Linked DNA regions of Nothobranchius furzeri. The protein of the gene in region 4 purifies or fractionates together with the protein of the main gene of each other region. This does not show direct contact. Links are inferred from orthologs where the notes say so. Each region holds a gene or a part of one and is shown on either strand. Other genes may lie near its edges. The genes, in order: fbxw2, dusp1, e2f1, skp2, ccnd1, B-cadherin and ep300a.

Region 1 (2,488 bases), about 36 Mb from region 4:
GTGAGTTTACATACACCAAGCATTCAGTCAGATTAAATAGGTTGAGCATGCGCAGAGTTGTCTTTCCCGGGAAAAAATAGTAAACAAACGTCATCTTCTCCGCACGTCTTTCCCCTCGCATTTTATTTTCTAGCTTTGTCGGCTGACTGTTTTTTTTTCTCCCGTTATGGACCGTCTTCGCATTTTTACCTGTATGCTTTTGTTTGACTGATCACTTTAACTAAGCTGCAGGCTCAGCGGTTCGTAACGCTACTGCTCCTCCGCCACAGGAGAGGAGAGCAGGACAGTTTCTGTTTACCTCCCACCATGTTTTCCACTTGTCCTGAGCGGATGCAAACACATCACGGCGAAGTTGTACACTTGCACAGAGGGAATTATTTTACTCCAGGAAACTAAATGAGTGGGTACATGGACGTCAGTCAGATTGATGATCGGACAAAACCACCTCTCTGGGCCATATTGGATCAGAATATTCTGACTGACAAGTTTACATGAAGAAATTTAGATCTGACAGGGCGTTCATTCCAATTCCTTGTGCCCGTGTAAACGTAGCTACTGTGATCTGCTATCACCCAAATGTGATGTGAATGACTGAGTCAGAGCGGTTTTAGTGTCGGTTAATAATAACTAGCGGTGGCTGACATCTTGGATCTGGTTGGCTCTAACAGTTAACCAGCTGTAGATGTTCAACCAATGATAATGCAGACAATAACGGTGTTTCCACTGACCTGCGCCGGTGTGCCCACGGAACTGCTGGATCTTAGCACCTGTACTCCACTCCCAGCATGCAACAGTATTGTCAAACGACCCCGTCACAAGCTTCTGTTCATCAAACTTCACTGTGGCGCATGTGTGTGTCTGAATTCCATAAATGCACTGTCCAGTGCGTACATCCCATAATTTGGCAGAAAGGTCATCAGAGCCTGAAAGAGAAGGAGAAACACAGTGAGATGTTCTAGAGAGAAGAACCTGCGTGCTGCAAAACGTTTACAGGTTAAACACCTGTGCAGAGCAGGCCGTCCTTATAGTAGAGGGCATACACTCGGGCGCTATGGCCGATGAGTGATGATGTCACAAAAGCCTCCTGGTCCTTCAGCTGCATCATGCGCAGTTTAGCCTTCAGGTAGACCCCCTTCCAGTGTGCTGCATCCTGGATGGACTCGTCGGTTTTCCAACCCAGCTCCCGGCACACACCCTGCCACACCTCTGTACACGAGTTTATCACCTAGAGAACACACACGCACGCGCACGCAAACGCACACACAGCTTAGTAAAAATCAAACATTCTACCTCTGATGTGCTAGGGTAGCTACTGTAACCATCACTGACTCATTAAGTCACCATGGTAACCACCATGGCTAATCAGTCCCCATGGTAGAAATATAGATATATGATGAGGTAAAGACAGAACAGAAAAAAGAGAAAGTGCTGATTTATTGTGAAGTCTCCATATTCCATAGTACTCCCCAACTCCGGTCCTATGGTTTTTATACTGTGTGTCTCTGTTGCGCATGTGCAATGGAAATGAAGGGTATTACAATTTCATTAATGACCAGAGATATTAATGATCCATACCTGGGGCATGGGTCCCATCTCTGGACACTGGGCTTTCTTAAATCAGAAGAGTTCTTTTTATTACAGGGAAATTTAAATTAAACACTTTGCATGAACTGAGAGACAAGAGAAGAGAGAGAGACCTCGGAACGTTTAAGAAAAATTTATTATCTAAATTATTTTAAACAATTAACAGGACTAACTCTCTAGTGATGGATGTGAATGGAATGGAATGAGGTGGAGTGTGTGTTGGTGCGATGTCAGTTCAGAACCTCCGTCTGGAGAAGCGAGTCTGAGTGGGAGATGATGTTTTGCTCCTAACTGATCGACGTTTGAACTTTAGTCAGGAAAGACATGAGACGCTATCTGGTGCCGTTCTACATTACCCGTCAGGGACTCCCGTGTTAGATCAGGCTGCCAGGTCCTCGGACCCTCCTCTGGTGCTGGAGCCGATGAAACAGCGTCGACAAACCAGTCTATGGATAGTCTCCAGGTAAAAACGTCAGATGTTTCACAGAATCAAAGGGAGCCCCCTTTGGGTCAGCGAGTTCCGCTTTTATTCTGAAGGAACCGTTGTTTTGTTGGTAACAACGACAGGATTTTCCAGCTTGACAGTTCTCAGCTTAAAAGTAAAACGTACAGATGGCCAGTCCGTACTTCACTTAGCGATGATGGACATCAGATGATCGAGAGCTGGCTGAATACTGAACTCAAAATGGCGTTGTTCTGTTTTATTAATCTTGGTTGTTTACGATTCTGGACGAATCGCAGCGGACAGATTAAATAAACACCACAGAGACTCTGCCACGCTTCAGAATGAAGGTTCTGATTGGATGAGTAAACAATGTGTCATGTGTTGACATTACGTGGATCAGGACGTCGAGTGCAGTTAGACCAAAGTCATATTGCTCATTAAACATATTAATCATAACAT
Region 2 (4,075 bases), on a different chromosome or scaffold from region 4:
TACAGATGAGCAGAAAGGTTTATGACACATAGAAACAAAAAAAAAAAGGGGGGGGGGTTACATTCCATCAGCTTCACATGATCCACGTCATGTTGGGTTTCTGTTGCTTTCTTTGCATGTGCCAAAAGCAAAAAGGACATTGGAGAGGTTATGTAAACATTTCCTGAGATAACCGATAGCCTCTCTGTTGTGTTTCTGATTGTGATTATCTGAAGCCTTCATCAAAATTCCAACAACAATCAGTCCCTTTAAATAAAAAACGATTTCCCCAAACAGGATCGTCTCCCAAAAGCTTCCTGGAAATAGGTTCACATTATGGAAGTTAAAGATCAAAACGGTCTCATGGTGAATGTCACATCTACCATTGAAATGACAAGGCCAACTGACAAAAGGAGTTACCAACAACTCACACACACACCCAACCATTCACTGTCCAGTGACACCAGCATCACTGTGGATTATGAGTTACTAAGTCCAAATACTCCCATCAGCAGCTAGGAGAGGTTGTGATGGGACTGTGGAGGAAGGAGTGCGGAGCTGTAGACGTGTGCACGGGGAAGTTGAACACCGTGCTGCTGTTGCCGATGGCCGGGCTGCCCGCCACCGAGGAGCAAGTGGAGGAGGCCAGGACCTGGGACTCGAACTGAAGGAGCTGACCCATGAAGCTGAAGTTGGGTGAAATGATGCTGCGGCGCTGCTTGACAAACTCGAAGGCCTCGTCGAGCTTTACGCGGTTGGTACGCATGAGGTATGCGAGGCAGATGGTGGCGGATCGGGAGATGCCTGCTTGACAATGCACAAACACACGGCCTCCTTTACTTTTCACAGAGTCTGGAGGAAGGAGGAGAGGGCATGATTAGAGCGATGTAAACAAGGTGAACAAACAAAACAGAGTTGGAACTTTCCACAGGAAACAACACATAAAAGCCCTTTGCCATTTCCTTTTTAAAGGTGCTCATCAGGACGCAGGAACAGTTAATAGCTGAGCAGGGTGTGAACCAATGGGGGTTATTCCCAAAGGAGGTGTAATGAAAGGACAAAAGGAGGGAACAGACCCCTGCTGGGGGGACTGAAGTGGCAGGAAGGGTGACTGTGAGTGGAGAGAAATTGCCTTTTGTTCGACCCAAACAAAAACTTGTAAAGGGGGAGCTATTCAGGCACAGCCACAAAAACGACTACTAAACAGTTCAGGGCTGCTGTCTTGCAATTCAGTTTAAAAAAATGAGGGGGGCATCCCTCTTTCAATGCCTCAGAGGTGGCGGTGATGATGTAACCACCTTTGTCATGAAAGCAGGGGGCCTTCATGGAGCCAGCTGGTTGGGTTTTGGAGGGAACTTTTAAAAAAATTTAAATCCTGGAGGCAAAGAAAGACATGAAGGAAGATGGGGGTTGGGCGTTTGTTTTGCTCACAATCAACAGACTGAATGGCAGCAGCTGTGGTCGGCGCCTACATTCTGTTGGGTGAAAAAGCTGTTTGTGTATTTGTTTTGTGCGTGCTCACCGATAAACTCGATCGCCTCATTGAACCAGGAGCTGATGTCTGCTTTGTGGTTGTCCTCCACAGGGATGCTCTTGTAGAGAAAGGAATCCTCAAAGTGGTTGGGACAGTTGGCAGAGACGTTGATCAGGGCAGTGATCCCCAGCATGTCCAGCATGTCCTTCCTGGAAGCGTGGTAGGCGCTGCCGAGGTACAGGAAAGGCAAGATCTCCACAGGACCTCCCTGAACAGCAACAAAAACACTTTTCAAAAACAATGCAGAAGGAAGTAAACAACATAAAGATTGCGTGGTTGGTGGCAGGTTTGAGGACGTAAACAAATAAAAACACAAACCTGGTCATACAGAGGCGTGTTGCAAGGACTGCTGGTGGAGTCTGCACTCTCTGGTTGTCTGGAGCTCAGAGACAAGCTCAGACCTTGAGGAGGGCACGGCTTGGTACACATCTCTGGATACTGGGAGGAAAATTTTTCAAATCCACCTAAAAAAGACAGAACATCCGGGTCAGATTACAGGACAGCAATCGGCTACATTGGTGTCCATTAATGAGGACAACTATTCACGGAGCGTGGCTGGTGACAGCCGCGTTTGTTTGCCTCTCCAGGCCAAGCGGTGTGACTTATGAGTGAAAACTTTCTAAAATGATTCTCACCGTTCAGGAGAAACAGGCAGACCCCGCAGGGGTTGCGACACAGGGCCGTAACAGCAAGCATCAGCGTGGCGTCCTTCTTCACCTGTCCGAAGTCCGTGCTCCGGTCGTCCAGCAGCACCACGGACTGGTACTCCCCTGACAGGAGCCGGTTCCTGGTCTCCTCGTTGAGCGCAATGTGCTCGAGTCCCAAGGCGCCCCTGGCTCTGCGGCGAACTATGGTGCTAAAGCGCACGTTGGTGGAGCCCGATATGTGGGACGAGTTAAAGGAGAGGAAGGAGCGGCAGTCCAGCACCAGGCAGCCCGGCGCGTCTCCGTCCAACAGACCATGGAGGGACGCGCAGCTGATGGTGGGAACCTCCATGATGACCATAGTAGAACAGCGGGATGTAGAAGTCAAATCCAAATGCATAAAAGGATCAAAGGCAGGGGTACTCAAGTGTGACTTGTTGGATGAAAAGATCTCAGTCTGTTCGCGCCGCGTGTCCTTTGTTCCTGGTAGCTTGTTTCGAAAAGAAAAGAAAAAACAACAGAAAATAAATATATCGAGTTTTAAGACAATCTCAGTAAGTCCTTTCGTTCACGCTAGTGTGTCCGGTGGTACTAGTCCTTCTCGATGCCTATCTTAAATTTCTTCTTTACAGAAAGTAACTTCTGTTCGAGACGGTTCAGGAGCCACCTTATATAGTCGGCGCGAGGCGAACTTCGTACCAACCTGACGGTGAGAACGTGCGTCAACGTCAGAGCTCCGCCCTACTTGGCTTCGGGCCAGGCCACGAAGTGGTGTGTACGTCATCGTGAATGTTAAACTGCTGTTGGGCTGGCGCGCGCGAAAATAACAACAATTAGAGCTCGTGCACATGCACGTTCCAAACGATCCAACGTACGGCACGTACGGGGTCACGTTCTGTTTACAGTGGGTGCTCAGTGACTTCATTCTTCATTTATGTTTGAAACATGTTATAAAATTCTGATGTTGATAGGAAATAATATGTATTTGTACTTTCTGTGTTCACAGATGAAAAATGAGTTTGTTTCAGTTATTCAACTTGGGCTGAGACCATCTAAAGGCTCAGGAACCCTTTTCAGGTGTTCATTATCTGACTAGAGTGTAACACCGAGTCTAGAACATCGAACCTTTACACAATATTCTCAATGTCTGAGATTTTGAATGTGGGGTTTCCATAATCATCACAATAATAACAAATAGCAGCTTGAAATGTCTGGCTTTAAACGTGAGTCTATATTAGTTTCACCTTTATAGTTGAGTTACTGACATAAGTTAACTTTTGCAACATATTCCAATTTCTTAAGTTTCACCTGTAAGTGGTTTATGAAAATTACTGCTAAATTGATAACATTTTGGAATGTACGCCTCTATTTTTATAATTAATAATAGTAATATTAATACAATAATAATAATAAGTAATAGTAGTGGTAGTGGTAGTAGTAGTGTTACCGTACATTTGATCCCTTACTGCACCACTTGAATAAAATATTTTCTAGGTTTGGATGAAGAGGAATGGGGTCTGCAAACATCTTTCATTAAAATTCCAATATAGGGCCACTTGTGTTATTTAGCTAGGAATGCCAGTATTCCAAGAGTGCCCAGGCCATTCATGTTCCAATAAAGATCCCTATCGCCGTACTACAGAAATGGCAGAGCTATTCAGGGGAGACCTAACATGCAAATTTATTATTGTTAATTATTATTTAAAATCCTTTTATCACAGGCTTCCAGTTGTGCAGAAGTTCACGTTTTCTGGCCCAAATGACAGTTGATTTATTTTTATTTTATCTTTATTTATTTGGTGATGGTTCATTGTTTTGAAGCTCACATTCATTGCTCATTCTGCAATTGTTTGGGAATATTTCACAAATTTTACAGCACTTTGCTTGTAATAAAGTTGTCTTTATATGTGTTATATAA
Region 3 (3,500 bases), on a different chromosome or scaffold from region 4:
GAACAGCGACAAAGTGGCACTACCTCTCTCTCTGCTGCTAAAGCTACGGATAGCAAACGCTACGGGCGATGCCTGAGCGTGAACGCGCATGAAGCAGCCTGCTCGACCCGAGCATCTCTCTTTTTCTGTGATTTTACAGAAAAACAGGCAATCACAGTAAAAATGCCAGGGCTCATTCTACAGGACCAGGGCATTGCAGGAGAATGTATGAAGAAGACATTTATTATTTCTATACATGTTTTGGCTGTCAGACTTCCATAATGTCCCTTTAAGGAAGTAGGAAGTGTGTTAGATGTAAATTTTAAAGCACATGATATAAAAGGAGAAAGTCACATTTGTGCTCAGTTTTTATTCCAGTTGGGTGTTTTCATCGTCTGTTTCCTTCAGATCAAACAGGATGAGGCAACAATCTTCCTGTTCTGAAGAGTGAGGCGCTGTTCCTCCTTCAGCTTGCCTGTAATGTTGACCTCTGTGCAGCCTGTTAGCACTAGAGCAAAAGCAGAGACTTGCTGCATCTTTATCCGTACATGTGTAAGCAGGATGAGAACTCCTGTTCTGTTTATATTTCTGCAAACCGTTCTGCTGTTGTGAGCAGAAAGCTCGCCGTGCAGCAACAATCCTGCAAAGCGACCTGTTTTTGGTGAAACTGGCCGTCGGATCTGTTGAAGTCGTCTTGCATCTAAACGAGCCCGCACACGTAGGAGCCTAAATGTGTTATTTTTTTTCTACGCAGTTCCTCGAAACGCATCAGAGAAGTCGCGTTACGACACGTCCTTAAACCTGACCACCAAGCGCTTTCTGAACCTGCTATCTCAGTCGGCCGACGGCGTGGTGGATCTGAACTGGGCTTCGCAGGTTCTGGACGTCCAGAAACGGCGCATCTATGACATCACAAACGTCCTGGAGGGAATCCAGCTCATCTCCAAGAAGTCCAAGAACAACATCCAGTGGCTGTGAGCATAAAGCCGTCTTACGGCAAGGATGAAAACCTCGTTGTGTCTGTTGGAACAAACGTTTAACAAGGGTCCTCGCCTTTTTTCCCCTGGCAGCGGCAATCGGATCGACGCCAACCTGGTTTCCCGGCACAAACGGCTGCAGGGGGAGGTGTGTGACCTTACGGAGGCCGAGGAGCAGCTGGATGAGCTCATTTCCAAATGCACCCTGCAGCTCAGGCTGCTCACAGAGGACCCACAGAACAAGAAATATCCTTGAACCAGAACCGGGTCCCCTGGCTGCAGCTGCAGCGGTGAGCTCTGGTCTGTAGCTTCGGCGGCGCCCAGTTGGACCGCAGGCTGCAGATGTTGATTCATTTAAATTAGTCCTCACATTAAACCTCTAATCCAGCACCGCTAGTGAGTAAAGCAACGTGTGGCTTGAACATCTTCTCCCTTAACTTCTGTCTTCACGCTGGGTTACGTGCGCTGCCAGGACCTGAGGAAATCGTTCGACTCGCCGGACCAGCTGGTCATGGTGATCCGAGCTCCACCAGAAACCCAGATGCAAGTTTCAGAACCCAGCCAGGTGAAGGCCTCAGTCATATAATTGAACCCTTTTTTTAAGCACCTGTAACGTTTCAGTTTGTGTGGTTTTGTCCTGACAACGCGGCGTGTCTGCCTCTCAGGGTTACGAGGTGTCGCTCAAGAGCACGCAGGGTCCGATTGACGTCTTCCTCTGTCCAGAGGACAGCTCTGGCGTCTGCAGCCCTGTGACAGGAAGCAGTCCCTTGAAAACCAACCCAGATTCATCCCGAGTGCCGTCTCCATCGCACACCGCAGAGCAGTCCAGAACGTGCACAACAGCCCAAGATGTGGTTGCGTCATCGCCGGCTTCCACTTCGTCCACAGTAACGGCTACATCCCAGCAGGAAGCTTCATCGCTGGGCGTAGGTGGCGACACGGGTGGGTAACTAGAACATTTAAGTCCTGTTCGTCCTTCTTTCTGACTCCACTGGTTAGGCAAGACAAGTGACCATTATATATAACAGCTGGGGAAGCAAGAATCCGTAGAAATCTGTGCAGAGTCTGTTTTTCTCATGGAAAAATTCATCCATCCATTTTCTGAACCCGCTTTGTCCTCACAGGGTTGTGTGTGTGTGTGTGTGTGTGTGTGGGGGGGGGGGGGCAGCAGTCAATGGGCAATCAGGCGGGGTACACCCCTGACAGAGAGCCAGTCCATGGCAGGACAACACAGAGACACACAGGACAAACAATCACACACACTCACACCTAAGGACAATTTAGACAGACCAATTGGACTGTGGGAGGAAGCCGGAGCACCCGGAGAGAACCCACGCATGCACAGGGAGAACATGCAAACTCCATGCAGAAAGACCCCAGGCCAGGAAGCGAACCCAGGACCTTCTCGCTGCAAGGCAACAGCTCTAACCACTGCTCCACCTCGCAGCCTTCATGGAAAAACCATTATTGGTTCTGTGCAGCAAGGTTGAGGGTCTAATAAAAGTCCTCCAATAAGATGGTTTGTTCACGAGTCTTTCATCCACAGTCCAACATAACAATCCTTTGAAAACATAAAAAGTCTCCGTCAGATTAAAGCTGCTTTAGCGAATTAAGAGAACAAGCTAGGCGGTGACAGAACACTGACCCCTTCCCTCGGGTATCTTCCCTAATGACACTTACACATTAAGGGCCGTACGGTCGGGGAGTGTTCACGTAGTGTTCTCAGAAATGCAGAAATCCCCGAGTTCACGGGCGGTGTTCAAGACGTGCGGGAAAGTCCGGGATCCATGATAAGATGAACAGAGGAGGGCATGAGTTGTGTTGTTTTTGAGGTCTGAACCACGTCATTTTATTCATTTGCTGTGTGTTCTCATAAAACTGTTCTCTGCTCCTGTGGGACACACACACACACACACACAGACAGACGGACGGACGGACGGACGGACGGACGGACGGACGGACGAGCTTTCTCCTCCCACTGAGCAGCTGTGTGTCGGTACAAGATCTGCTCGGGTGCAAAATTGGTTCGGGGTCCGTCAACTGCTGATGACGTCTAAGTAGTTGATTGGCTGAACATGAACCTTACAGAATTACGTAATCACGTTACGTTGTTATCACGTTACGTTGTTATCACGTTACGTTGTTATCACGTTACGTTGGTCCAGGCAAATCTTTCTATTGGAAAGATGGACAACTTTTACAAAGAAATCCATCATTACCTCTTTGAAAATACACTTTTAGCATAGAGATGCATGTATATTAGGGCTGAATGATTAACTGCATGTGCAATTAAATTGCGATGTGACAAAAGGAGATTTTCTAATCTCAAAGGCTGCAATTTGGCAGCGAGTGGTTAGCGCAATGCTAATATACGTGGAAAAACCCATAGGAATGCTAATGCTAATATCACCGATTACATTCTTACAAATTATGAATTAGAAACGTGCCAAATGATTACATTTGGAGTCTAATAGAAAGTAAAAATACCATCAATCAAATAAGTACAGACAGGTATTTTAGTAAAGCCAGAAAACTTTTAACTCG
Region 4 (4,020 bases):
GCCGTAACCCCCCCCCCCCCCCCCGCCTTGGTGAAAGCTACAGGTGACTGGTTAACATGTGTAACTGCATGTCCAGACTGTCCACACACAGAGCAGTAGGGGCGGGGAAGAGGGAGGATCAGACTCAGACAGACACACAGCAGAGCACCTGCGGGTGGAGGGAGACAAGAGGCAATGAGGAGGACGAAAAAGGCGAGCGAGAGGGAGGAGAGTGCGACGAAGACGGTGAGAAAATGAGCGCCAGCAGTCGGAAAGTGGAGATTTCTTAGTGTTCAGTTATTAAATCCATAGAAATTATAAACATTTGACATATTGCTTTTTTAACATTAGTAAATTATTTTACATATACGGTAGTTTAGCATTATTTTGGTTATAAATGTATTCTACGCAACAGAAAATCTGAGGAGCCACTTGGGAGCCGAAAGAGCCGGCTCTTTTTGGTGAGCTGAGCCAAAAGTACCGGCTCTCGAAAAAGAGCCGGAATTCCCACCACTAGATAGAACCTCAAACTAAACCCAGACATGTTTGGACTTGTAGTAACTTGCTTGTTTGTTTTTTGTTTATATTTCTATGTTTTTGTATCTGACTGTTTTTCATTTGTACATTGTAAATTGTTTTATTTAGTCATCCTGTTGAGGAACTGCAGATGTAAATTAGCAATTGTGCTATAATCTGGCCTCTTTACAATGGATACAACGTATGTGATTGTTATTAATGCGCACTGTCCCGAATAAATAAATAAATGAAATGATCGACCACCATCTCCGAGAAAGAGAGGATCACAAGCACAAACTGAAAATAAACGAGTGCGTCTGGCACCAGAAATAAGGGCGCTAGAGTCGAACACCTTGTGTATTAAAACATTTTCACACACTGCAGGTGAGGCCTCGAAGATGGGGACATTTAAGGCAGCTTTCACTAGATTCAAAAGAACACGTATTTGTTTTACCCATTTCTGATAATTATGTAGACGGTCTCTTAACATTGGGAAGGATGTGCAACCCATGCAGGGGGTTGTGGGACTAATATTATAGCATCAGCTGCTCCACTATTAAGTAAAATGACTATAAATAAGCCGATAATGATATGTTTGGTTGATTTGGTCATATTTTGGTGTGTCTGGTTGCTGCTTTGCTTATTAAATTATTAAAAACCAGAACATTTCTACTCCCAGGCGCTAGGGGGCGGTGAAGCCGGTGCGTGATGACGTCACGTCTTTTTACGTAGTAAAAACAAGGCGCGTGTGAGTTGGTGGCGCGTTTAAAGAGTCCAGTTTGGAGAGTAAAGAGAGAAACGCGAGGATTAGAAGTGCATTTTCCCGGATTAGGGTTATTAATCTGAAGCGGAAGGATGTCTCAACACAGGTTTGATGCTTAACTACATTTAGTTCCTGTTTTCTGTCTTATTCGCTTATTTAAACCAAGAAAATGAAACAAGTCGATGATCCGATTAAAATAATCCAGTTAAATAAACGGATCACTTAATCTGATGTCGGACTACTGGGGTTTCCTTTCTAAACTGCTGGTTTGATCATTTTATGCAGATTATTTTTAATGGTGTTTAAAAGCAGCTCTCCCAGTGGTTCTAGCGGTGGGACTTTGCGCGACCTGTCATCATCCTGATGGCGGGCTGGGGGCGGGGGGGTGGGGGTGGGGAGAGTCTTCCTCAGGATGAAGGTCCGGTTCTGGCTGATCAGACCCATCTTGTCCACCTGCAGCCGGACCCTGATGCACCTGCCCTGCTCCAGCCTCCGGAACAAACGGTCCCGGACCTGCCTGGCTGAGGGTCCGGACTCTGAGTGCACCCCCACAGAGTCCATCCAGCAGAGACCACCGCCTCTCAAGGTCCCACTGCTCCTCCCCAGGGGCAAAGAGAACGAGTTTGTGCTGGCCCGGAGGTCCCGGAGGAGGAAAAGCTCCAAGTCAGGTAGGAGAAACCCCCCCACCCCCCCACGCTTCCATCTGGCTGCCTTCAGAAACCTTAAACCTCTCTGATTGGCTGGTTTCTCTCCTCAGGTGTTTCATTGGATCATCTACCTGAGGAGCTGCTCCTGAGGATCTACTCTTGCCTCCCCTTGCATGACCTGCTGAGGATTTCTGGAGTCAGTAGGCGCTGGCAGCGTTTGGCGTAAGAGATCCTGCTGGACCGCACACACACACACACACTCAGAAAACCCAGCTGTGGTTAGGGTCGGGGCTTCTCCAGGGGGTCCCTGATAAGTCCCTGCTTGACCAATCGCACCTGTTCACTCGAGGATTTGTCGCTAACACCAACGATGCTCAGGTCAAGTTCTCGTGCGTCTGCGGGCAGACCCTGTTAATGGATGCTAGATAAGTGAGCATCTTCCCCCAGATGGAGCAAGAATTATTCATTCATGCCAACGAGCACTACAGAGAACTAGAACAGAGCACCGGCTGTTTGATTAGAGCCGTCTTCCTGGAGGCGTTTATTTAGTTTATGTGTTTCCATGGCAACGCCGGAAGTCCGCTTCCGTTCTGTTTCTCCTCGTATTTCATTTGAGTTTCCATCAGTGGGGCTTTGGGCGGAGCAGCAGAGACATGCAGGTGACCTTTGGGCTGGAGGGGATCAGGATCCGGTTCTGAGGTAATCTGTGTGTTTCAGGTCCGATGAGTCTCTGTGGTACAGCGTGGACCTGGAGGGGCTGACCCACGTGGGCCCGGCTCTGCAACAGGTTCTGAGGACCGGGGTCCGCCGGCTGCGCTGCCCTCGAGCTTTTGTAGAGGAACAATACCTGACCGACTCTCGGTGAGTCCGACAGCCCGGATTGGGGTCCGGTCCCAGCAGCAGGTAGAACCCCCCTGATAATGGGTTCTGTTCTGTCCTTCCAGCCCGCTGCAGATCGTTGAGTTGGACCTGTCCAGCTCTATCATCCCGACCTCGACTCTCCAGAACATTTTGGGTCGCTGCAGGCTGCTGCACCACCTGAGCCTGGAGGGTCTGCAGCTCTCCAACAGCATCATCAGGTCTGACTTGTACCGGGTCAGGATTTGGTCTGATTGGTTCTGGTTGTTTCAGACATGAAAATCCCTCACGTAGGGTCACAGCGAGGCCAGCTTTCCCAGTTCAACCAGTTCCAGTATTATCCACTGGAGGACATACTCATGAGCCCCCCCGACACCACCAACAGTAGTGGAAATAAGTCCATCTGAACCGGCGACGCGCTCGAACGCAGCTCATCTGAACCGGCGACGCGCTCGAACGCAGCTCATCTGAACCAGCGACGCTTGAACACAGCTCATCTGGACCGGCGACGCTCCAATGCAGCTCGTCTGGACCAGCGACGCGCTCGAACGCAGCTCGTCTGAACCGGCGACACTTGAACACAGCTTGTCTGGACCGGCGACGCTCCAATGCAGCTCGTCTGGACCAGCGACGTTCGAACGCAGCTCGTCTGGACCAGCGACGCTCGAACGCAGCTCGTCTGGACCAGCGACTCGCTCGAACGCAGCTCGTCTGGACCAGCGACGCTCGAACGCAGCTCGTCTGAACCGGCGACACTTGAACACAGCTCATCTGGACCGGCGACGCTCCAATGCAGCTCGTCTGGACCAGCGACGCGCTCGAACGCAGCTCGTCTGAACCGGCGACACTTGAACACAGCTTGTCTGGACCGGCGACGCTCCAATGCAGCTCGTCTGGACCAGCGACGTTCGAACGCAGCTCGTCTGGACCAGCGACGCTCGAACGCAGCTCGTCTGGACCAGCGACTCGCTCGAACGCAGCTCGTCTGGACCAGCGACGCTCGAACGCAGCTCGTCTGGACCAGCGACACGCTCGAACGCAGCTCGTCTGGACCAGCGACGCTCGAACGCAGCTTGTCTGAACCGGCGACGCTCGAATGCAGCTCGTCTGAACCAGCGACGCTCAAACGCAGCTCGTCTGGACTGGCGACGCTCAAACGCAGCTCGTCTGAATCGGCAACGCTCGAACGCAGCTCGTCTGGACCGGCGACACTCGAACGCAGCTCGTCTGGACCAGCGATGCTCGAACGCAGCTCGT
Region 5 (4,190 bases), on a different chromosome or scaffold from region 4:
TGTTGGTCAATAAAGGGAGAAAACGAATTTCTCCACAGTAGGACAAAGGTACATCTACCGGTAATCTTAATAAAAACAGATTGGCGCACAGCAGTGACGTAATTAAAAGCACCGGTTAGATTAGCCGCGGCTAGTCTGTTCACGCCTAGAAATCCTAGACCCGCTCCAAACGAACAGGGGAATCATGTTAATGATTCCTAACTAAACCTTTCGACATAGAGATGTTTTGGTGCAGATAATGTCTTATTTCAAGGCTGCACCATGGGTGCCCGTCCGCACCCGTTATATGGATATACGCTGATGGCGATTTGCCGATGGATCTAAATACCCCGGAGAATCCAAGTAGCACCAAAGTTGTCAGCGTGAGTAAACAAACGTACTGCATGCTAGAAATTAAGTCCGGGTTGCAATAAATGGGAGTTTTCCTTTAAGCACATAAGCGTGAATATACAACTACGTGTCGGACTTGGTATGCTAATGAAGTTGGGCTGTGAAGCGCCTCCCAAATTCGCTGTTTATGTTTTTGTTTATTATTTGGCAGACAAAACTTGGATCGGAGACAACTCGCGTGGGAAATTGCAATGTAGCCATGCGGCATCTTCTTCTTCTGTTTGTCTGGGAGGCGGAGGCTTCTTTACGGCATCTGGCTGTCGTGCGTGTTGGTGTACTTGAAGAAGGCTGTGTATAATAGTCCATAATATCGATACCACAGGGATGGAATATCTAATTTAGATACCACTTTTAGTATCAATTTATATCTAGGTATCGATTTTTTTGACAACACTAGTGTGTGTGTGTGTGTGTGCGTGCGTGCGTGTGTGTGTGGATCCACTCCTGAATCCTGACGTCCAGCACCCACCTGTAGCACAGAGAGCCACGAAGGTCTGGGCGTGTTTCCTGAGGATCTGCTTTGTGGACAAATGGATCTTCAGTTTGGACAGGAAGTGCTCGATGAAGTCATGAGGCGTGACTGAAGCCAGGTCCCACTTCAGCTTGTTCAGAACCAACAGCTCCATCTGCTGTGGGTGGACCAGAACAACCAATCAGACGTTAACTCAGCGTCTGCCTGCTGCTGCACCTCTCGGCCACTAGGGGTCAGTGTAGACCACCAGACAAGCCTGTCAGACGCTCCAGAAGAACACTATTTGTTCCATCTCCCACAACCTTCTGGTGGGATGGACACACGTGAGGAGAGGACAACCTTGCAGGTGAAGTGTGACGTGACCTTTGTTCTGGTTTTTGACACCTCAAAAAAGATGCTAGTGATGAAGATGAGGTTGATCTCCTCTTCTTCCTCACTGGCTTCTTTTCATGCTGGTGTTTCTGTCTCTCTCAGGCTCTCCTGTTTACTTTATTTTCTATATTAGTATTTATTGTTGGCTCTTGTGAAGAGCCTCGTGATTCTTTATCTTGATGTTTGCTAAATGAGAAACTTTTTCTTCTTCTAAACACCTGATCTGCTGGTGTGCCTGCAGCAGCCTCCCACACGGTCCTAAAGCCCTTACCAGCAGCTCTCCGGGCTGGACCGAGTTGTCCGTGTAGATGCAGAGCTTCTCCGCCGTTAACGGAACCGTCTCCTTCATCTTGGACGCCAGGAACATGCACGCGGCTCCCAGCAGTTGCAGGCGGCTCTTCCTGCTGGACTCCACGGACAGGAACCGGTCCAGGTAGTTCATGGCCAGAGGAAAGACCTCCTCCTCACACTTCTGCTCCTCACACACCTGAAGGGAGAGGAGCGGACAGGTGAGTCCTCCACACACGCACTGTCTCACACACACACACGCACGCACACACACATTCTCTCTATCTCACACACGCACACACACACTTTAATCACCAGAACTCGGTACGTTCGGACACACCGGCCCCTCGGGACCTGTTGGGTTTGGGCACGAGGCTCCTTCGCGTGCTCGGTTCGGGTCCGGACCAGACCGGTCCAGGCAGCTTGTAAAATGAATAAAAATGACCAGAATAGGACCGAGTCTTTCTGCAGACGCGTGAGAACACCGGAGACACTGAGCCGAACCTTCAGACCCATTTGGTACCCTTTCATCCTTTAAAACTGTTTTTTTTTTTTGGTCTGCCATCCTCAGCGGAGCCGTTCGGAACCAAGACAGTTTTAGACCCAGTGGAACTGAAGTTGGTCTGGTTTCTGTGGAGCCTGGTGGGTCCGGCTCGGTTCTGGCTGATGTCTGACTGGTTTTAACGGACTTTAAATCCTATCTCGTCGGTGGCAAAGATGGCGCACTGTCCGGACCTGCTGGGCCGGACTGCATACGTGTACATTACTGTGAATTCTGGAGTAAATCCGGATCGGTTCGACCTCACTGCCTTCGGTACGGCAGTCCAGACCGGGTCCAAACCGGAGCTGGATGGGGCAGCCGGATCAGAACCGGAACCATTCCCAGGGACAATCAAAACTCACCTCCAGCATCCAGGTCGCTAGGATCTTCCTCATTTTAGGAGCTATTTCCTTTTGGACGCACTTGAAGTAGTTCGGAGCCGGCAGGTAGTTCTCCTCGGCCCGCAGCATGGTTCGGAGGACCCGGTCATTCAACAGGTTCACGTCCTGGTAGGCTCTCCGGATGGAGTCCACTTCGCAGCACAGCAGCTGCTCATCCATGGTTTGGCTCGGAACACAGAGAGAACCGGTTCGGTACAAGTGTCCTGCTAGAACCGGCCCGGTGTCTTTTCTATCTGGTATTTTTGAATCCCGGTGTCAGGGCTGCTCCGTGTGCTGCTGCCCCTCTGGTGTGCGCGAGTCCTCTGAGGTCCGGACCGCCTCGCTCTGGCGAACAAAACCTCCGCGCGCACCTCCCTGCGCGCGCGTGTCTGTACGCCCACACACAAACGGCTTTTTCGCTTGGGAACAAGTAAAGGCGGGTGACGTAGGCTGTTGTTAAGGGGCGGGGCCGCGGTGGGAGGAGGTGAGATCAAAGAGAAGCGGTCTGCAAGCGCGCGAGCAGGAAGAGCCCTCCTCCCTCTAGCCCTAGGAGGAGGTGGGAGGTCTGGGACCGGGCCTCCGGGCCCAACAGGCGGCAGGGGGCGGCAGTGACCCTCCCCCTTTGTCCTGCTGCCGGTTCGGTTCGGTGTGAATGAACAGCAGAGGACACAAGGAGGAGGGGGGAGTAACTCATTCATCTCACCTTATCACGACCCAAAACTAGACCGAGTACTGGTCCAACTCTGTAGTTCTGGTACTGAGTTCCACAGAGGACCCTGGTTCTGTTCAGTTCACACCTACTGGTGGAGTTTTGGTTCTACTGGATTCTGCTAGGTTCCCTGTGAGCCCTACTGGGTTCAGATCAGCAGGAACCACATGGTCCAGAACATGTGACATCACTAAAATGAGACCTCCATTCAGAACCCTAACCCTACTAGATCCACACACACACACACACACACACACACACACACACACACACACACACACACACACACACACACACACACACACACACACACACACGCGCACACACACACACACACACACACACACACACACACACACACACACACACACACACACACACACACACACACACACACACACACACAGGGGTTGGACCAATGGGAGGACCTGCTGTTACCAGGCAGAATCCTGTTTTGGGTGATGGTGGTTGACCCAGTCCAAGTGTGAACTGGATCTTTAGACACAGATGTTCCTCTTTGAGCTGCTTTATTCAGCCAGTAGAACATATTAGTGGTGAGAGAGCTTGTTGGATCAGAACCAACTTGTTCGTGGACACAGCTGCTGTGTAAACTCAGAAGATCCAAGTCTAGTTTCAATTTGAGTCAGAGCCTTTGAGCATTCCTGGAATTCCTCTCTGGCTGCTGGATTCACTACCGTAATGCCTGAATAGAGCCTCCTCTCTGGCCACTGTCCTCAAGGCTCACTTTGTTGTTGTCAGGGTAAAGAAAACAACACAACTCCAAACAGAAACACATCATAATAAATTTAATAACAATAATACATTTTATTGTGCTTTATGTGATGACAATCTCAAAACAACAGTCTCAAAACACTCACAAAAACGTACAATGATGAAAACAGAAGTTTACACACTTTCCTGACTGCGAGTGAAGCGTCCCGGGTCGCTCTGACCAGAACCTCTCACTTTCACATTTTACTTTGGAATCTTGTTAAGATTCATATTCTGATTCATTGAAATATTGAGATGTTATGAGAT
Region 6 (4,233 bases), on a different chromosome or scaffold from region 4:
ATTATTGTTTTATTGTATTTTATTGCGTGTTTTGTGTAAAGTGACCTTGGGTGTCCTGAAAGGCGCTTTGAAATAAAATGTATTATTATTATTATTATTAAAGGTAAAAAGCCCAACCCCCTTAAGTGCAGCTCCCAACAGCCTTTGCAAAGCAAAGCCGGTGGAACAGGCTCGGGGACATTGTTTGGACCTGAAGGTGAGCGCATTACCTGGGGTGTGGAGCCGAGTGCAAGCTGAGACCTGAAGCCCTTCAGGCTGCTTTCACACAACCAAATGCAGCTTTTTAGCACAAGCTTGGATGTTAATGAACCTTTTCCATATGAAGAGACTCCCAGCAGTGGAAACCCTTCAGGAATGTGAAGCATTACGGAGTGTCATGATCACTCGTACCTTTGCCCAGCCGTGTGCCTCGATTCAGGTGTTTTCTGCTGACTTTGAATATTAAAAAGTCAGACTTGAATCCTGGAACACATGTTGACTCCTCAGCTGCCAGCAGGCCCGAGGCCTAGGAGAGAAGAGCGTGATCAGACCTGCCTCAGAAAACAAGTCTAAACAAAATGATGCTTTATGGGTTAGTAGCTCCATTGATTTACGTTTAAAACTGTTTAACATTAAATCATTTTCAGACTGAATCCAGTTTTCCATTTTCCCAAAATACGGAATTCAAAACAAGCATAAAGGGAAACGATTTACTTCACATGCAGAGAAACAACGTTGGTTTTATTCTTATCTCTTTACCTCAAACACCAAACAGATCAACAGTTAACCCTCTGGAGGCAGGTGTTAAACCTACCCACCTAGTATTTCATGAGCATTTACCCCTGATGGGCTTAGTTGTTCGTCCTTTTAGCAACACCTATTTTGAGCCTGAGAGGGTTAAACTTATTAATTCTATATTCATGCAAGACTATTAAGTTTTATTATTGAGTTCAGCTAATATTTAAATCAGACCCCAGCTCCAGCCGGTTTACTAGTTAGGATGCAGATGACATCCAACTGTACATCTCCTTTAAGCCCCATGAGATGTCTAAGCTGCAGCTGTTACACACCTGCTTAGACTCTATCAAAACCTGGATGGCTGGGAGCTTTCTACAGCTGAATGAAGATAAGACTGAGATCCCCATCTGTGCCCCAGACAAGCTGGTTCCCAAAGTCAGAGAATCTCTTGGTCAGCCTGCTTCCCACACCAAACCCTGTCAGGAATCTTGGCGTGACCTTTGACCCAGCTCTCACCCTGGATTCTCATGTCAGTTCTGTTGTTCGCTCTTCCTTCTTCCATCTCAGGAACATTGCTAGGCTGAGTCCCATTCTGTCCCGGTCTGAACTTGAGACAGTTATCCAGTCCTTCATCTCCTCACGCTTAGACTACTGTAACTCTCTTTTCACGTGTCTGAGCAGAACCTCCCTGAACCGTCTACAGGTGGTTCAGAATGCCTGTGCTCGGCTTCTGACCAAGTCCTCCAAACACACCCACATCACCCCGCTTCTCCTCCAGCTTCACTGGCTGCCAGTCAACTTCAGGGTTCATTTCAAGATCCTGGTTCTGGTCTATAGGGCCTTACATGGACAAGCACCATCTTACATTGGTGATCTTCTTAGTCCCTACACCCCCAGCAGGTTCCTGAGGTCCAGTGACCAAAGCCTACTGGTTGTGCAACGCACCAGGCTAAAGGTCAAAGGTGACAGAACATCCGCTCTGGAACTCTCTCCCCCTGAGCCTGAGATCAGTGGACTCAGTGGTCTCCTTTAAAAAGCAGCTGAAGACTCACTTGTTCAAAGTAGCTTTTTTATGACCTTCTTCACCACTCTATTCTGCTCTCCCCACCTATTCCACCTTCCTCAGGATCCACTGATTTCCCTCTTTTCTATTCACTCTCTTTCTTTACATTTTTAATCACAATTGTCTTTTTTTGCTTACTTTAAATATATTTTTAACCATTTTCTAATTTTTTTATATTTTTGTTTTTGTGAAGCACCTCGTGATTTGAGAGGCGCTTCATCTTCATCAGAAGATCTTTTCTTCTTCTAGGACATCCAAGCCTGCTAGTTACCCTTCCCACCTAGTTGGTCACCAACGTGACTAACCACCGCTTAGTTTGCTACGTTAACCCTAACCCTCAGTTAGAATTTTACCTGCAGTCGCCGGAAGGAGGGCGAGGCCGACCTGAACCAGTAAAACTAACGAGTAGTTTCATTTAACCAAGTTAACCTGGCGGCTTTAGCGGCCGTTAAAATGTTTTCAATTGAAACACAAGTTTGTGCTAAAAACATGAAAAAATCCCAATAAAAGCTCATTAATAAACATCCTTATTTAAACACCTAAATAAGGTTAGAAAGGTTTCTGTGGACTCAGCCCAACAGCTTCAGTCTCAGTAAAATCCAACTGCGCCTCGAGGAAATCAGGAAGTTTTACCTGAAACACGAATAAAAGGCAGCAAACGGCGACCCGAGCGGTAGCCATGTGTGTGTCCGAGCTTTAGTCGACTCTCCCCGCGAAGAAAAACCGACCAAAGAACTAAAATCCCACGTCACTTTAGGCGTAATCCCTAATAAATCCCGTCCGTAGCTTCTTCCTCGAGTTTCACTCTGTTTCTGCTCGGTGACCCACAGCAGGTACTTTCAGCGTGTGACGTCAGCTCACAGGTGCGCCAGTTCCGGGTTCCTCATATGGTCATGGAGACCGAACACCTGAGAAGGTAGAAACCAGGAGTTTCATTACGAACATCTCAGCAGTCAGAAACAGAAAACAATTAGACATCCACAGGGAGTAAGTCTCTCTCTCTCTCTCTCTCTCTCTCTCTCTCTCTCTCTCTCTCTCTCTCTCTCTCTCTCTCTCTCTCTCTCTCTCTCTCTCTGTGTGTGTCTGTCTCTCTGACTCTCTCGCTGTCTATGTCTCTCTGTCTCTCTTTCAAGCACGCACACACACACACACACACACACACACACACACACGCACACACACACACACACACACACACACACACACACACACACACACACACACAAGCACACGCACACACACTGCTAAATCTTGCTGAAGTCTCGATTGCAAAATAGTCACTTCTTCCAGTATTTTAAGGAAATTAAAATGTTTCTTCTGAGTCTTTAAATGTAAATCTAGATGAAAATAAATCAAAGTATAGAAACTTAAATCTAAATATTTAAAACTAAACACAAAAGTGGCTTTAAGATAAAAGTTGAACTAAACTCAAATTCAGACACCTGGAGAACCCGGCAGGGTGAGGACCTCCTGTCTGTTTAGAACATCTGGCCTACACCTGCACATGGATTCATCATCCATAATTAAACGTACTGATATGATTTTACCATAACAGTGGATCTGAGGAAGGGGACCTGCTCACACCGCTCTTATTCTGGAGGAGTCTGAAGTATTAGTGTGTTTGCTGAATATTTGGTTAAATATCTCATTTCTGTCTGTTGACGTTGCTGTAAATTAAAATGAGACTGAACATTTAGATTTAGCATCATCGGCGCCACACACCAGACCAGCTGGTGTTTATATGAATGTGTGAGGAAGTGACTGACGTGTGATCTCTGAAGCTACGGACACGTCTCTGAAAAACAGTAGCTGAAGTTTCATGTTCCCTTTTTAAAAACCAAATCACTTAAAGGGCCAAAAGGAACTTATTCAGAATACCCTCAGTATTCGTTTCCACACGTAAACCCAGTTAAACCAGATCTTTCCTTGTGTTTGTCTTCATTTGTGCTGCAGTTGGACAACCGAAACTCCGTCTGGGTGGACGTTGCATCAGACAGAAACAAACTCTCTCCAGCAAGCCCACTCTTCTCCCTCTGAGTGCCTTTTTATTTATTGATACATCTGTCTGACTTGCTGACATTGATTTTTGAGTCACAGGATGAAGAACGAAGGAGACAAATGAGAAGAGCTCATCATGTTCCATGTCGGACATGAAGCTGATGTCACTAGTGGATGCTTCCATCGGCCACATTCCTCAGATATATAATCCATAATTCCCCTATTAGCTTCACTCCTGGACTTGGGACTTCCCTTAGATCCAGGAATAACATCGGAACTAGTGATGATGCCATTTCTCCATGACTCCAGTTAAAACCTGGGAGCATCTCAGATAATCGATCTGCAGCTTCGTGCTTTTGTCTCCTAGTGATGATCTGTTTTTCTGAGTGATTGCACATGCACGCTGTAATCACGATCTAGACCTAACATGGGCAGATACTTAGCATTACCGCTGT
Region 7 (3,500 bases), on a different chromosome or scaffold from region 4:
CAGGTGCTCCCATGGGCAGAGGCGGTGTGGACCTCTGAGCCATAGATTGCATCCCCATCTGATTGAACTGGTTCATACCTAAGAAGATAGCCAGAGCATCATGAGGATTGAGGAGCGCACCATTCTTGCTAAATTGGGAATCGGTGTTTCATCATTGATGACTGAGATCACAGTTCTCTTTAAATTACACCCACATTAATAACAAGTTGTCTGGACTGCACATTCAAGAAAGAAATTACTAATAAAAACCAACACTTATTTACTTTAGACCTCTTACATGTTATCACTTCAAATGCACAGACTGATAATAAACTAAACACCGAGTGTGTGTTCTTCCTGCCCAGTAGCAACACCTCTGATCACGATTAAGATTTCAGGCGTGTTTAATGTCCATCCTGAACCTCACAGTGTTTAGCATCGTTCTCAGCATTTCTTCACCTGACGGTGTGATCGTCTTCTTTCCTGTCATTTATGTATTTAGCGGACGCTTTTGTCCAAAGCCACTTACAGTGTGATCTGTTAATTCAGGTGCTGGTGCAGGAGATAGGTGTAGGAGACTATTTTCATGTTCAGCCTGCATGAAAACCCGAGTGATTGATTATCAGAAATAATCACTAAAAATGTTTTTTCAGTGAACCACACCTTTAATTATACTTGCCTAATAGGCTTTTTTGAGTTTCTGTAAAAAGACAAAAAGGTTCAACTGTCGACAGCTGGTCAGGGTAAGCACTGAAGGATGGAGACACCTTCATGAATTAAAATGCTAAATTCCTACTAGTGTAGCTGTCATTATGAATATTACTTATTACTTAAATATAATTTCTATTTATTCGTATCCTTTGAATTTTCATCAGTAAGAATATTATTTGGACAATGATGAATTATACAGTTGCTAAGTAGAACAGGAATCACAGAGTGGTGTAGTTGATTAAATATTAAAATGGCTTGCAGTACAGGCTTGTTGTATTCAGATTTGGGGGAAACGTAGAACAACACAATATGAACCGTTGTTCACTGGATTGTTCTAATATTACTGTTAAATCAGTTCAGTCACTAACGCGAGTCAAACCGGTTAGTCCTTGCAACCCTACTGCAGCTGCAGTCACCTCTTTGTGAATTTCCCCCGGATTATTGAATGGATTTTGAAAATAAATAAACATTTGAAAAATATCCGTCTGTGTGTAATAAATTAATCTAACAACTTTTACTTCTTGAATGGAATTACTGAAATAAATCATCTTTGTCACGTGCTGCTCATGTGTAGGTGAATTTAATCATACAGTTTGGTTGGACCCACACAAAATAGATTAATTTCTGAAGAATCTACAGAGGATTATGCTGTACCTGAGACATTATTATTGTCTAAGCAATATTTAACATAGAAGAACAAACTGCCTCATTTTGACGCCAACTTTTCTGATTTTAACAGTTGAGGTAAAGTATTGGGATACACCAGGTTTGGGACATCATTTATAAAACTTTGCAAAGAATACTTACTCTACTTTAGACTAGCACTACTTTAAGCACGGCTCCACTCTGTTTCTGCTTTAAAAATCACAGCTGTCCAACAAATGTGCTCAGGTGTTTGTCGACTACATCCTGCCTCTACACACCCACTCTCTAATAATAAATGGACAATGTAAGCTGCATGATGAATTTTGTGCATATAAATAAACATGCTTATTGACAGGATGTCACAGGTAACCATGACAACCAAGATGGAAATCCAGGCTCTGGGGCGTGATGTAGGCACAAAAAAAATTGTTTTATTCCCTTCGAGTGGCTCTGCGCTGCTACAGCGGTGAGCTGTGGAGCCGCAGAGCAATCAGTGAATATCAATAATTAAATAAATGAAAGCATTTTAAAAAGTGGTCAGATGAGATGGCAATAATCATTGATACTATCAATAAAAGCAGCACTATGGTGTGCAGGGAGGGATCGCTGTCTTTTCCAGATGTAACAGGAACATTTAATGAAAACATTTCAGGCGAGACTAGGTTGTTTTGGCTTACGTTTAGCACCCCCTAGTGTCCTTTTGTGGAATCGAAAGCAAAACCTATCTCCTCGCTGTGCGTTCGTCTTTTTAACACCTTAATCTAACAACAAACATCTCCCCAGCCTTCCTCAGTGTCTACAGGAGTGGTTCATCACTAAATCAAACAAATCACTTGTGCTCCTGATCTAAAACATACTGGAACCAGGCTGCAGCGACAGGTATGTAAGCTCAAATTTTTTCTAAGTCCAGCAGACCGGACTGGCACTCTGAAGTTGCAAATGTGAAATTCTGGCCACAGAGGGCGGTGGGGGTCTGAGTGACATTTCATTAACCCTATTAAGGGTAATTTTAGCACATACTGGCTCAAGAAAATGCAAATAAATAATTATTGATTGTTATTTGTTAATAAAAAATATTGGGTTGCACAGTACGCAGGGTTTCCCCCAGCGCTGTATAAGCCTGGCGGCCAGCCAGGCTAAGCGTCATGCCCCGCCCCCCTCCCCGACCCTACCGTGTCCGCTGACACGAACGGCGCAACGAAACTAGAGCCCTCCATCAGCTGATACTGGTGAGAAACAGCAGGGGAACGTGTGCAACCATCAACTCATCAAGCGAATGCCAAGAGTGTGCAAAGCAGTAATCAGAGCAAAGGGTGGCAGTTTTGAAGGAAATAGAACATAAAACATGTTTTCAGTTATTTTACCTTTTTGGGCTAAGTACATAACTCCACATCTCCCAATGTAAATGGTCATGAAAATAAAGACAACACATTGAATGAGACAGGTGTGTCCAAACTTTTGGCCTTTAATGTATGTGGCAGAGGATATTTCTGAATTTCAGGAAAGAACCGCCCTCACCACTTTTTTAAAAAATGCACATGAGAGAGAACGCCCAGTTATCCTCGTGCACGCTCTGTTTACGCTGCCGGTCTTGCGGGGGGGGGGGGGGGGGGGGGGGGGGTTCCACCAAATGTAGGAGTGGGTGGGGGGCCCCACCGTGACAGTGCCAGAATGCCAGTCCACCCCCGTGTCCGACCAGTAAACAGATTCTGATCAGTAATAATTAGCAAGATACTTGCTTTGAGGTTGAAATAAACTAGAATGAAAATTGTTTCAGATTTAAAATCTGCTATTGTTAGAGTAAATTAGTTTTGTTGTAGCGATGGTGAGTTCACAGACTTGAAGACAATCATTCCAGCTTGGCAAATGCTGTGTTTATTCCTTCATTATTTATTTATTCATTCATCAAAACAACTACAGAATTTGTAATCGGCCTGATTAAGCTGATCATGCTGTTTATGGGCAGGTTCTGATCAGCAGCTGAGTTTTTGGAGCATTTCTAGAACAATAGTCTTAAGTTCAGAACAGATTCTGTACCTGGGCCTGGCATCCTGGGAACCATCGGATTGGGTCCAGGAGGACGCACCATTGACGGGTCAGGGAGTGGGCCGTCTAAACCGGACAGACAGACAGAAAAACACTCATCAGTGAACACAACAAGAAAG

Evidence for each region.
Region 1: the proteins of skp2 (region 4) and fbxw2 purify together in Homo sapiens (affinity purification with western blotting; 4 studies listed by BioGRID). This does not show direct contact. The link is inferred for Nothobranchius furzeri from reciprocal best matches to the Homo sapiens genes SKP2 and FBXW2.
Region 2: the proteins of skp2 (region 4) and dusp1 purify together in Homo sapiens (affinity purification with western blotting; 3 studies listed by BioGRID and IntAct, with this or other methods). This does not show direct contact. The link is inferred for Nothobranchius furzeri from reciprocal best matches to the Homo sapiens genes SKP2 and DUSP1.
Region 3: the proteins of skp2 (region 4) and e2f1 purify together in Homo sapiens (affinity purification with western blotting; 6 studies listed by BioGRID). This does not show direct contact. The link is inferred for Nothobranchius furzeri from reciprocal best matches to the Homo sapiens genes SKP2 and E2F1.
Region 5: the proteins of skp2 (region 4) and ccnd1 purify together in Homo sapiens (affinity purification with western blotting; 3 studies listed by BioGRID, with this or other methods). This does not show direct contact. The link is inferred for Nothobranchius furzeri from reciprocal best matches to the Homo sapiens genes SKP2 and CCND1.
Region 6: the proteins of skp2 (region 4) and B-cadherin purify together in Homo sapiens (affinity purification with western blotting; 3 studies listed by BioGRID and IntAct, with this or other methods). This does not show direct contact. The link is inferred for Nothobranchius furzeri from reciprocal best matches to the Homo sapiens genes SKP2 and CDH1.
Region 7: the proteins of skp2 (region 4) and ep300a purify together in Homo sapiens (affinity purification with western blotting; 3 studies listed by BioGRID and IntAct, with this or other methods). This does not show direct contact. The link is inferred for Nothobranchius furzeri from reciprocal best matches to the Homo sapiens genes SKP2 and EP300.

Annotation. Positions count from the first base shown.
Region 1 is NC_091746.1:34,116,504-34,118,991, forward strand, and holds part of fbxw2 (F-box/WD repeat-containing protein 2), read right to left. Parts: intron 1,226-2,488; coding exon 1,003-1,225; intron 924-1,002; coding exon 729-923; intron 1-728. UniProt on the Homo sapiens protein: Substrate-recognition component of the SCF (SKP1-CUL1-F-box protein)-type E3 ubiquitin ligase complex.
Region 2 is NC_091741.1:101,791,696-101,795,770, forward strand, and holds the start of dusp1 (dual specificity protein phosphatase 1), read right to left. Parts: upstream 2,801-4,075; 5' UTR 2,558-2,800; coding exon 2,149-2,557; intron 1,978-2,148; coding exon 1,832-1,977; intron 1,722-1,831; coding exon 1,502-1,721; intron 832-1,501; coding exon 488-831; 3' UTR 1-487. UniProt on the Homo sapiens protein: Dual specificity phosphatase that dephosphorylates MAP kinase MAPK1/ERK2 on both 'Thr-183' and 'Tyr-185', regulating its activity during the meiotic cell cycle.
Region 3 is NC_091755.1:51,400,806-51,404,305, forward strand, and holds part of e2f1 (transcription factor E2F1), read left to right. Parts: intron 1-733; coding exon 734-953; intron 954-1,049; coding exon 1,050-1,202; intron 1,203-1,406; coding exon 1,407-1,521; intron 1,522-1,621; coding exon 1,622-1,898; intron 1,899-3,500. UniProt on the Homo sapiens protein: Transcription activator that binds DNA cooperatively with DP proteins through the E2 recognition site, 5'-TTTC[CG]CGC-3' found in the promoter region of a number of genes whose products are involved in cell cycle regulation or in DNA replication.
Region 4 is NC_091746.1:70,421,682-70,425,701, reverse strand, and holds the start of skp2 (S-phase kinase-associated protein 2), read left to right. Parts: upstream 1-1,220; 5' UTR 1,221-1,350; coding exon 1,351-1,364; intron 1,365-1,717; coding exon 1,718-1,926; intron 1,927-2,015; coding exon 2,016-2,127; intron 2,128-2,622; coding exon 2,623-2,766; intron 2,767-2,849; coding exon 2,850-2,984; intron 2,985-4,020. UniProt on the Homo sapiens protein: Substrate recognition component of a SCF (SKP1-CUL1-F-box protein) E3 ubiquitin-protein ligase complex which mediates the ubiquitination and subsequent proteasomal degradation of target proteins involved in cell cycle progression, signal transduction and transcription.
Region 5 is NC_091749.1:21,576,225-21,580,414, reverse strand, and holds the start of ccnd1 (G1/S-specific cyclin-D1), read right to left. Parts: upstream 2,801-4,190; 5' UTR 2,624-2,800; coding exon 2,426-2,623; intron 1,722-2,425; coding exon 1,506-1,721; intron 1,020-1,505; coding exon 860-1,019; intron 1-859. UniProt on the Homo sapiens protein: Regulatory component of the cyclin D1-CDK4 (DC) complex that phosphorylates and inhibits members of the retinoblastoma (RB) protein family including RB1 and regulates the cell-cycle during G(1)/S transition.
Region 6 is NW_027223037.1:4,205,727-4,209,959, reverse strand, and holds the start of B-cadherin, read right to left. Parts: upstream 2,801-4,233; 5' UTR 2,462-2,800; coding exon 2,414-2,461; intron 506-2,413; coding exon 391-505; intron 1-390.
Region 7 is NC_091756.1:27,967,268-27,970,767, forward strand, and holds part of ep300a (histone acetyltransferase p300), read right to left. Parts: intron 3,448-3,500; coding exon 3,373-3,447; intron 79-3,372; coding exon 1-78. UniProt on the Homo sapiens protein: Functions as a histone acetyltransferase and regulates transcription via chromatin remodeling. Acetylates all four core histones in nucleosomes. Histone acetylation gives an epigenetic tag for transcriptional activation.